Linked DNA regions of Cricetulus griseus. The protein of the gene in region 2 interacts with the protein of the main gene of each other region in a pairwise test. Links are inferred from orthologs where the notes say so. Each region holds a gene or a part of one and is shown on either strand. Other genes may lie near its edges.

Region 1 (3,694 bases), on a different chromosome or scaffold from region 2:
AGGCATCACCCTGGTACAACTCTTCCCTCAGGATGCCACACACCTGGGTCCGGCTCAGGGCCACCTGCTCTGCCATGGTGTTTTCTGGTGGAAGAAAGACTCATTGATAAGGCAGGAGAACAGAAGAGCATTGACAACTTAACCTTATCAGAATCAGAAACTGCTGCTTCTGGGCTCCAGCCATATCCTATGTTGTCTTCTCTGGGGGCTGTACATTACGAAATCTCTATAAGCATTAATGGAATTCAGCTAGGGAATCCACTCTGGGAAAGCGACGCGGTCAGAGCATCGCACTGTGTCTGGGGCCATCGCACTCCAGTCTCTGCCAGAAACGCCACAATGAACTGAGCATCTTTTCATTGTGCAGATGATGGAGTTCAGCCCCAGCTCTCTGCTGGCCAAGCTAAATGATCCCAGAAAGACCCTTCTCTTCTAAAAGTCTAGTCCTCATGGGCCTAATGCGGGGAAGTGCGGGGTACAATGGGATGGGTTAAGACCTCGTAGATCTTTTTCCATATCCAAGCATAACAAATAGCGCTCATCAAAGGGACACGCGGCTCATAAGCGGGAAGCACATCCCTCCACCGGTGTGCTATCAGACCACCCCCTTTACCTGTGTTTAGTTGCTGCTGCCAAACAGGTTTACAGTTCTGGAGTGCACAGCTCGTTTCCGGGGGCTGCGCTTAGCTGGCTCGTTTAACGCAGGAGGGCGGGTGCTTTGACTGAGCTGACCCGCCTCAGGAGAGGCAGGAGAGGAGGAGCTTCGGACTACTCCATCGGTGAGGGAGGGGAGAGTAGCAGAAGTAGGTGCGCACGCATCCCTTGTCAGCCCCACCCTGTTGGCCGTCCCTGCTTTCCTGCTCCGCGATCGTGATGCTTTGCTGGCACAGATACAGCTCCGCACAGTTCTCCTGCGTCCCCATCGCTACCCCAGCCATACTTTATGGTCTGTTTTCCGATGGACCCTCGAGTCCCTGCGCACTCCTGGATGACCCCACTTCCGTTAGCAGCATAGCCACGCCTCCCCTTGCAATCGGTTTGGCGTCCTTTAGCAGCTTCTTCTAGGCTTTTTCCATGGTAGGGACCTGGTGGCAGAGAGCCCAGTGACAGAACCAGACTAAAACTGGGGTGTTTCATTGCGAATGCGACGCCTTGAAAATGGGGTGGGGACAACTGTGGGCGAGGTGACACACGCCTTTAATTCCAAGCACCCGGGAAGCAGAGGCAGGTAGATCTGGATAGCTAGGAGAGAGACCCTGTATCAAAAAAAAAAAAGTGTGTAAGTGTGTGTGTGTGTGAGTGTGTGTGTGATCTTTATCAGTGAAGAGCGTTGCGCTCTTCGGTTAGCCAATGCAGGCTGGCGGTCTGAGGCTTCTCTTCAGAGTGGGATGCAGCACTATTGTGGCTTCGCAGCTCCAGTTAATCTCCTCGACTTCGAGTCTGTGTTTTACTTCCGGATCCCACACTTACGACACCGGAAGCCGGAAGCAGGGGTTTCCACAGCCGAGAAGGGAAGGGTGACCGCCCAACCAGGACTTTCTGAGAGCTCCGATTCAATCTGAGAGGTCGGGTTCCGCTGCTCAGGCCCTCTTCACTTCTGGCCGACTCTGCTGACAGGTGTAGTCCTCTTCTCCAAAGATAGGGCTCCATCGGTGGCCATTATGCAGCTTCCGAGGCTCCTGAGCCCCCTTCCCCCCACCTTGGGCCCAGTTTGTTCTGTTGCATGCTTTCGAATGCTTTTTAGAGCATTTATTCAAGAAGTGCAGATTCGCGACCCAGCTTACTTGGACTGATTTCTGTCCTTCCCTCTGCTTATCTGTCGCCTAAGGGCTTGGCCCCAAGTGCTAGAACTCTTAGTTCACAGACATTTTTCTGTTGATGAAACTTTGTTTTCTGAAACAGCATCTCGAAATGTAGGCCAGGCAGACCACGAGCACAAGATTCTCCTGCCTCAGCTTTTTCAAGTGTACCGACTTTGCCTTTGTTTTTGAAGGGTTCACGATAAAAGGGAGAAACAGTCAAAGTTATCTTTGATGTAACTGGTCCCAGTGGGGTCAATTGATTGTAAAAGGCAAGGGAAGAAAGCATGGTGATCTGTAAAGAGATTATTGCAGTAATCCATGTGAAGGATGATAGTGCTGTCAGCCTTTTATTACTGAAAACTTTAAAAATGTACAAAAGTAGAAATATTAACATAGTAAGTTCCATGTACACATTTCTTAGTTGTCTCTATCAACTCATAGCTAACTTTAATTCACAGCCCTTACAGTACTCTACCATGATTTTTTTTCCTCTTTAGAAAAGATGTTATTTTATGTGTGTGGGTGTTTTGGCTGTGAGTATGTATGTGTACTACATGCTTGCCTGTTGCTAAAGGAATTCAGGAGAAGGTGTGAGGTCCCCTTGGATTGGAGTTGCAGATGTTTGTGAGCCACCATGTGGGTGCTGGGAACTGTCTCTGCAACAACAGCAAGTGCTCTTAACCACTGAGTAATCATCTTTTTTGCTCCACCCATTATAATTTTCAAAAACAGCTTTCTTGAGACATAATTTGCATGCTGCACCATTCACATTTAAAAACTAAAAATATTTACTATTTGTGTGTGTGTATGCATGATGTGTGTGGAGTGTCATGGCCAGAATGTGTTCTCAGGTTTCCAGGCTTGCATACCAATAGTTATCCACTGAGATGTGTCACTTGCCCATAATTCAAAATTTTTGGAGAGAGTCTCATGAAGATCCCTTCTTTTTGAGTTTCTCATCCTCCTGCTTTTACTTCCTAAGTACTAGGATTTACAGAAGTACACCACCACATCTGGCTACAATTCACGTATTTAAGGTGTATAATTCAGTGGTTTTTAGTGGGTTCATAGGAGTGTGAAAACATCACTAATTGCGGAACATTGTCATCATCCCTAAAAGAAATCCTAAATAAGAAACTCCAATCCACCTCATTTCTCTAAGTAACCACTAAACTACTTTCTGTCAGGATTTACATGTTTTGGATATTTCTTATGCTTGTAAGTATATACAGTATATAGCTTTTAGTGACATTTCTTTCTCTTAGCAATTATTTGGAGCATGTGTTCTTGTTTTTGTAACAGATTTTGCTTATTCATCAGTTGGTGGACATTTGGATTGTTTCCACTCTGGCTGCTTTGAATAATGCTGCTGTGATCATTTATATATGGACATGTGTTTTCATTTCTATTGGGTTTATCCATAGGTATCTCTTTTGTTATGCAGTGAATTTCAGACATGTGAGTGTTTCATTATGTATCTCTTTCAGAAAGTACTCTCAATAAACATAACTACAACACCATGATCACACTTAAAATACCTAATGTTATAGTGTGTCTTCATGAATTAAAAAGATGGGCAGGGGGGAAGATAAAGGAACAGAAAAACTAATCGAACAAGCAAGCAAAAACTCAGAAATGCTCAAATTTTTTGTCCTGATAGTTGGGGGATGGATTTGTTTTCAACTGATAGTAAGGGAAGTTGTGGATAGAAGTGGATTTGGGAGACTCACTTTTTTGGGTACTGCTGGGGATCCAGAGTCTGGTGAATGTTTGGCAAGTACTCCATTGCTGAGATATACTTCTAGTTCTGGGAAATTAATTTTGACAAGACCTCTTTTTATTTTAAAAATATTTAATTTTAGTTTTTATTTGTGTGTGTGTGTGTGTGTGTG
Region 2 (3,654 bases):
TCAAATGAGCTTTTCTGTTCACTAGTTCAGCGAGTTGTTTGAAGGGTGCACACTGAGGGAATACTGACAGGCTCTGCATACGTATTTGACAGGTTGTTTACAGTTTCACTATAATTAGAATTTGATGGAATTTCAAATAGCTTTATTGCTTTACTGACAGTAATGTAAAACAAAACAAAAAACCCCCAAACTTTTAGCTTTTTAAATTAAAAATATGTAATACTTTCCAAAAGAGAATGAAGAATTGGCTAGTTTTATATCCAACTGTCCTCCCAAATGTTTACTCTTTTGGGCATGAAAATGAATACATTCAGAGACTGAATGCAACTCACTGGTAGAGAGAACCTTTGCCTAGCATTCATGGGGCCCTGGGTTTGATGTCCAGAAGTGAAAAGGATGAATGTACAGACTGAAAGAGCATAGTTTGTTGAATTGTGACTTTTATCCTGGAAAAGTCACAAATTAGTGAAAGAATTAGACTTGTCTTTTTCTCAAAATGCTAGCCTCAAACACTGAATTATTTTAAATGTCAATACTTTTTAACTTTTGTTTTGTAATTGCTTGTTGATTGACTGACTGACTGATAACTGAGGCAGGGTCTCCTGTAGTTCAAGCTAATACTCAATTCACTCTGGAGCTAAGGATGAACTTGGCCTTCTGACTCTCTCAACTCTGCCTCGCAAATGTTAGAATTACAGGCATGCACAACCATGCCCGACTACCTTTTAATTCTTTTAAAGGGCTTTATAATTGTTTACAAGCAGGCTCCCATAATGCCCCAGAGGCTGGGGCAGGGCCTGCAGCAGGCTACAGGTCATTTGGTACTGTCAATCCCATTTGGTAAGCTAGGAGAGGAAACTCCCAGGTCCCCAAAGCTAAAGTGGAATGGCCAAGTCACTTACCATTGAGTCATAGCCAGACCAGCCCTATCTTAGGCCAAGCTACAGTGGCTTCCTGGTGTGTGTACTGTCCTGGATGTGAAACCTTCCTGAGAGCTAGACAGCAGGAGTGCCAGGTCCTTAGCCAGCAAGCCAAAGACCAATAGGAAGAGAGAGCTATAGAGTTCATAAGCTGGTGCCCTCATTCCACAAAGTAGAGAAGACCTCAGGAATGTTCCCAAGATCATCCAAATTAGTCAGGGGCAGAGCCATGCTACAGTGGAGGTCATCTGGCTCCTCCCCCTAAAAGGAAAAACAAAAAGAATTTTTTTCCGTACATCTGCCATGGCCTTATGGAATGTTACCAGCTGGCCCTTCATTAAGAATCAACCACACAGTCCTCCAGCAGTGGGCTTAATTTATCCAGAAAACGTTTGCTGGGCATTCCTTCCCTTCACTTTGGGTTGCTTAACTTGCTCCTCACGGCTCCCTTCTGTCCTCAGGTGATGGAAATTGCCTCATGCATGCAGCTTGTCAGTACATGTGGGGTGTTCAGGATACGGACTTGGTCCTGAGGAAGGCCCTCTGCAACACCCTTAAGGAGACAGACACACGAAACTTTAAATTCCGCTGGCAGCTGGAGTCTCTGAAATCACAGGAATTTGTGGAAACAGGACTTTGCTACGACACTCGGGTATGTTTGGCTCTTGTTTGACAGCTCCACGGTGGACAAAGGGTACTTTGGGCCAGTCCCTGTTCCCTGAGGAACATATGACTTACAAGTCATATGAGTTGAGCTAAGCAGTGCACCAAGTGGAAAACACCAAGAACCTTCTGTGGGATTAACCCCAGTTAGCAATTCACTTCTCAGGCTTGTAAGCATCAGATCCCTAGGCGTGCATTTCTTTGTCATGGCAGGTCTTCCAACCATGGTCTTTCCTTAGGCACTTCCCAGCCAATCAATCCAGGGAAGGATGTACCTCTTACTCCTCAAGCTTTTTTTTTTTCTTCCCTGAGCTAGAGTATCATGTATGGCCTTGAACCTGCTACGTAGCAGAAAATGACCTTGCTATGTAGCTGAAGATGACCTTCCTGCCTCCACCTCCACAGTGCTAGGATTGCAGACATGCATCACCATGTGATTTTACATGGTGCTAGATATAAACCCAAGACTCCATGCATGTTAGGAAAACACTGAGCTATCCCCCTGCCCCAGGTAGGGAATTTTTCTGAAAGCAAAGGCTGTCTGTATCTCCCTTCAGCTTTGACTTTGCTCTGCAGTGGAAAAATGTAAAGGAGAAAAACCAAAATGGGGGAGAGGATGAACATCCAAGCAATTGTTTCAATGAAGGAGAAGAATGAATGGGATTTCTTAACAGGGACAAATGCAGAGTGACATTTGAGTGACTTGCTAACCCGTCCTTTCCTTCCTCTCTTCTCCCCTTCCCTTAGAACTGGAATGATGAATGGGACAATTTGGTCAAAATGGCATCGGCAGACACTCCCGCAGCCCGAAGTGGACTTCAGTATAATTCCCTGGAAGAAATCCACATATTTGTCCTCAGCAACATCCTCAGAAGACCCATCATTGTCATTTCAGGTGAGGTGCCTCCTCGTTTCTTCTTGTTTTTCCAAATGCTTTTCAGCCATGCTGCTTTAGCTCTGAGGAGAAACCCAGGCTCCTCAACAGCTTCATGAAAGTCACCCAGGGTCTTATTTTGTTTTTTTTTTTTTCTTCCTGTTAACAGACAAAATGCTAAGAAGCTTGGAATCGGGTTCCAATTTTGCTCCTTTGAAAGTGGGTGGGATTTACTTGCCTCTCCACTGGCCCGCCCCGGAATGCTACAGATACCCCATTGTCCTTGGCTATGACAGCCAGCACTTTGTACCCCTGGTGACCCTGAAGGACAGTGGACCTGGTAAGAAAACATCAGTTCATACTCATAACCCTTTTGGATCCTGGAGTTCCCGGCCTTGCTCTCTTGTTCCCAACTGAAATTGTTATATTTAAGTCTGTTCTTAATCAGGATGGATTAACAATCTCTTATGTAAAGTGCTTGGATCCAATATTATTTCAGATTGCAGAGTCTTTCATATTCCTGAATGTTTACATAGACTTTGCCATCTCATCATCCCTAATCAAAACTTAAATGCTCCCAAATCCAGTCAGATTTGTAGATTTGAGATTTTCAGATTAAAGTCATACACAATGGCACAGTAATGCAATAGCAGTAAACATACCATTCTGCCATCCTTTTGAGTGTGACTTAGGAAGTACTTTCAGAATGGTAAACATAGGTTGGACAGTCATATATGCATACTCCACCACTGTTATTACTACATGACAAATTAAGGTACACAAAGCCTTGGTATCGAGTCTGGCATACAGCAAGTAGATGTTTGTCAGGTTAGCTATTATTATAATACCATAATGTATAGTAAGCACTTTGCTAAGTGCTCCAGGCAACATTCCTTCATTTCATTTTCATAGCATCCCTATGAGATGTTGGCATGAGTTGTCTTACTTTATCGATGAGGCCATGGAAACTCAGAAAGGTTAAATGACATGCTTAGCTTGACATCAACAAAGTCAAGATTCTAACTCAGGTCAGTCTGCCTGGGAGGCATTGAATTTAACCAGTTCAGATCTCTTGTCTCCTTCCTGTGATTACAAAAATCAGCTTAGGTGATGATCACCAGATGGATGGATGAAGAGACTGTGATATGTGTACACAATGGAATTATTTAGCCATAAGGGGGAAAAAGGGAATTTTTG
Region 3 (3,654 bases), about 31 Mb from region 2:
GCACAAAAGGGAACCGGGAGGGAGGCAAAGTTTGGGCGCCTTGGAAGGGCTGATGGAGGAGCCCCGGCTCCCCGGCCCGGCTCCAGGGTTAACACACTGTTGGGGGCTCCACGGGAGGCTCGGGAAGCAGTGTCAGACATAGGCGGGTCACCATAATTTGGGGATGAAAGTCATGGTTTTTTGTGTATTTACAATACTTCGGTGAAGAAAAATATAAAGATACAGTGCCTTACACCAGTGCCTCCCCCAGCTAATTAAAAAGGATTTCACACCAAGAAAAGCAAGTAGCAGGTTGGCGAATTACCTAAACCTTTTCCACATTTTTTGTTAGTTTATTTTCATGACACACATAATGAATTCGAGCAAAAAAAATTAGTTGTAAAATGAAATGTCATTACACCCCACCTCCACACCCCTCAAAAGTGAAAACTACCCAATTAAACTTAATTTTTCAAGTGTTGAACAAAATGTTTCTTTGTAAAAAGACATTTTAAATTCAGTCCTTTGTAATTAAACTTAAAAGCCTGATGTTAGTTGCTGCTTCAAACCAATTGAGTTTTGAATATTGTCTAAGTGAATATTTTTAGCTTTGAGATGTTACTGAAACCCCACCTCCCCTTGACAGGGTCCCCACTGACTGGCCTTGAATCCCTGCAGCGGTCCTCCCACCTCTGCTTCCTGGGTGCAACATGAATAGTTGCCTCAAGAAAGTCAATATTCACCTAAAACTGGCAATTTAAAAAAGTTCGTTTTTAGTTTATGCACACTTAAGCAATTGGTGGTCAAGATACCTGAACCTTTTGTTAAATACTGTATTTGATAAAAATTTTTTTTCTCTATTTGGATTTTTTTTTTCATTAAAATAAAACAGCCTATAAGTGTAAGTGTTCATCATCCCTATTTTGGTGATGAGGAAGGTGAAGAACAAGGGTTTTTTTCAGCCAGAACAAATAATGAAGTTGGGATTAGAACTCTGATCTATAAGATGAAAGCATGTGGCTATGATAACGAACAACATCCATGAAGATTGCTGCCAGAGAATGTAGACCTTTAACGACAAGATTTTTGTTTTCTTTTTGTTCCTTTTAGATGATGATAATTCCGAAGAAGGGTTCAACACTATTCATTCAGGAAGGCATGAATATGCATTTAGCTTCGAGCTTCCACAGACGTAAGTATTATAAGTAGTAGGATTTTTCTTGGACATACTTAGTTAAGCACAATCTGTAAATACTCCATATTTAAATACTTTAGTATTTTTTTTCTTTCTTGAAAAAAACCCTTTTCATTACAGAAACTTGGTCGAGGAAAACAATGTAATTAATAGAAGGAGCTATTTTTAATGTGGCAAAATTACAGAAAGCACACTCAGTCAGTTGTTAGTATTCTGCAGTAGTGTTTGGAGGATATAGAATATTAATATTTAATCTAGCACTGGTGAGTCCTAAGGTGCTAATCAAACAGTCTTCAATCAAATTTCTGACTAGCCTGTCCTTTATTAAAAGAGACTTCACTTGAATCTCAGTAGCTCGATGGATCAGAATTCAGAATTCCACCTTTTCTGCTAATGTGAGTGGTTAATGTTAGAAAGTAACCATAAGACTGCCCTAACTCAAGGAGTCCCCTTCTTTAGACACAAATTCAGTAGCTTCTGTACACAGAGCTACCACTACTGGGGACATTACGTAAGATAGCATAACCTGGACTTAAAAGGAAGTGTCTCAGAGCTACCTTAGTGGAAAGCTTGAAATACAGTACATTCTCAGCATTTTAACAACTTTCTGGGAGAGAATGTAAACATTTTTGCATAATGCCTTTTAGCTGCTACTAAAACTTATGAACTGGCACTAATTGATCTATATAATAAACTTAACTCATAATGACAGTCTGTCGTGCCTTGGATATATATAATTCTGTTTACTAATTTTACTTGGAATTCTACATAGACTTTATAGTCATTGTAAAATACTGGTGCTTCTACCAATCTAATATGGCCTTCTAAGTAACAGCACTGCACATTTCTCTAATGGAGCAGATTGCTTGTTAAAACCTACAGACAACAAAACCTCCAACCTGGCCAAGTCCAGAAACAGTTCTGATTATCTGACCTAGGTTAATGGGAAGATTTTTCTTTTCAAGCCTTGGAAGGAAAAGGTGGAAAACAGTCACGGGAGAGTTAGAATTTGGCTGGACAGGGTGTAAAAAGCACCCTCTCTGTTTCTATGAATTTATGAAATAGGAAATTGTGAGACTATTCTAGGCTTTTTCTGTGCTAATTAGTTGCTATAAAAAGAGGTTCTAATTCCTAGCTAACAAAAGTAGAGCACTATAGGGAGGGTTTTTTTTTTTTTCTTCTTCTTTTTTTTTTTTCCTGAATGTTTGACTGGGGTCTGGGATTTTTAGGTAGAAATAGTGAGGCCATACTTACTTTAAAATTAAAATGCTTACCTTTTCAAGAATAGTTCATTTAACTTTCATGATTTTGCCACCAACATTAAAAGTAGACTCTTTAGTTTAAGGGGGTTGTATTCTTCTGGCATTAAAAACAAAATTTCTCTTACATTTAACTCTTATCATTATTTGAAAATAAAAGGCCTTTCCCCAGTGACTTATCATATCCCCTTTGGAGAGTTTTAAGAGATTATGCATGTGGTACCTCATTGGTCCACAGACAGTACAACATGGTGATGCCTTTATACACGTGGTACCTCATAGACAGTACAACATGGTAACGTGTTTATTCTGATCGACTATTGAATTTTTGAAAGAGGTGTAAGATTAATATCTCCATTTTTATATTTTGCACAGACCACTTGCTACCTCATTCGAAGGCCGACACGGTAGTGTGCGCTATTGGGTGAAAGCTGAATTGCATAGGCCTTGGCTTCTACCAGTAAAGTTAAAGAAGGAATTCACAGTCTTTGAGCACATAGATATCAACACTCCTTCATTACTGGTAAGAAGTGCCTGGGTTCTTCATTGCGTTTTTGACATTTGAACACATAAAGAATAGCCACCTAATCTATGCTGCCCAGTCATGCAGTCTCCATAGCTTTAATAACGCAATTCTATTGAATTCCATTAAAAATACCTATTTTAAAATAAGGTAGAACTAGAGCACACAATCGAATGAATAATATGCTCCTATTTTTCACACAGTGCTAGCTAGGTACATTTAAAAGTTACACTTCACACATATGTGATATGAAGTGTCTTTTTTGCAGAACACAGCAATAACAAGGTCCAGTCCCTAAATGACTTTAGTTGACAAACAATATTAATCATTTAGGATGTTGGCTTAAATTTCTTACTTGAACCGGTCACAATCTAAACTTTGTACCACATTGCTTTATACTAGTTAGAGCTAGGTGTCACATGATGGGGATTCATCATTGTCATGGGGAAAAAATTAATTTCTTTTTAATTGCATTTTATTATACTAATTCAAATTTGGCTTCAAAAATGATTTGGTTTAAACAAATGATAACATCTTTAAATTGAATAAAAATGTGTTTTACATTTTATCAAACAACCTTTTTTTTTCTTTTTTCAAAATAAGATGTTGCCATTTTGAATTACAACCAAGTTTAAGACAATTTATGTGGAATTTGGAAAGGGTTTTTTTTTTAAATTAGTTTTCATTATTGTACACAA

What was found.
Region 1: the proteins of Tnfaip3 (region 2) and Ikbkg interact in binary tests that used the Homo sapiens proteins (3 or more experiments, as listed by UniProt). The link is inferred for Cricetulus griseus from reciprocal best matches to the Homo sapiens genes TNFAIP3 and IKBKG.
Region 3: the proteins of Tnfaip3 (region 2) and Arrdc3 interact in binary tests that used the Homo sapiens proteins (3 or more experiments, as listed by UniProt). The two-hybrid records come from large-scale screens. The link is inferred for Cricetulus griseus from reciprocal best matches to the Homo sapiens genes TNFAIP3 and ARRDC3.

The regions. Positions count from the first base shown.
Region 1 is NC_048604.1:1,290,546-1,294,239, reverse strand, and holds the start of Ikbkg (NF-kappa-B essential modulator), read left to right. Parts: upstream 1-845; 5' UTR 846-943; coding exon 944-946; intron 947-1,463; exon of another isoform or gene 1,464-1,617; intron 1,618-3,694. Other genes in the region: G6pd (glucose-6-phosphate 1-dehydrogenase), read right to left, coding at 1-76. UniProt on the Homo sapiens protein: Regulatory subunit of the IKK core complex which phosphorylates inhibitors of NF-kappa-B thus leading to the dissociation of the inhibitor/NF-kappa-B complex and ultimately the degradation of the inhibitor.
Region 2 is NC_048595.1:270,728,103-270,731,756, forward strand, and holds part of Tnfaip3 (tumor necrosis factor alpha-induced protein 3), read left to right. Parts: intron 1-1,381; coding exon 1,382-1,572; intron 1,573-2,330; coding exon 2,331-2,478; intron 2,479-2,626; coding exon 2,627-2,797; intron 2,798-3,654. UniProt on the Homo sapiens protein: Ubiquitin-editing enzyme that contains both ubiquitin ligase and deubiquitinase activities.
Region 3 is NC_048595.1:301,357,683-301,361,336, forward strand, and holds part of Arrdc3 (arrestin domain-containing protein 3), read left to right. Parts: exon of another isoform or gene 1-291; intron 292-1,089; coding exon 1,090-1,171; intron 1,172-2,808; coding exon 2,809-2,956; intron 2,957-3,654. UniProt on the Homo sapiens protein: Adapter protein that plays a role in regulating cell-surface expression of adrenergic receptors and probably also other G protein-coupled receptors.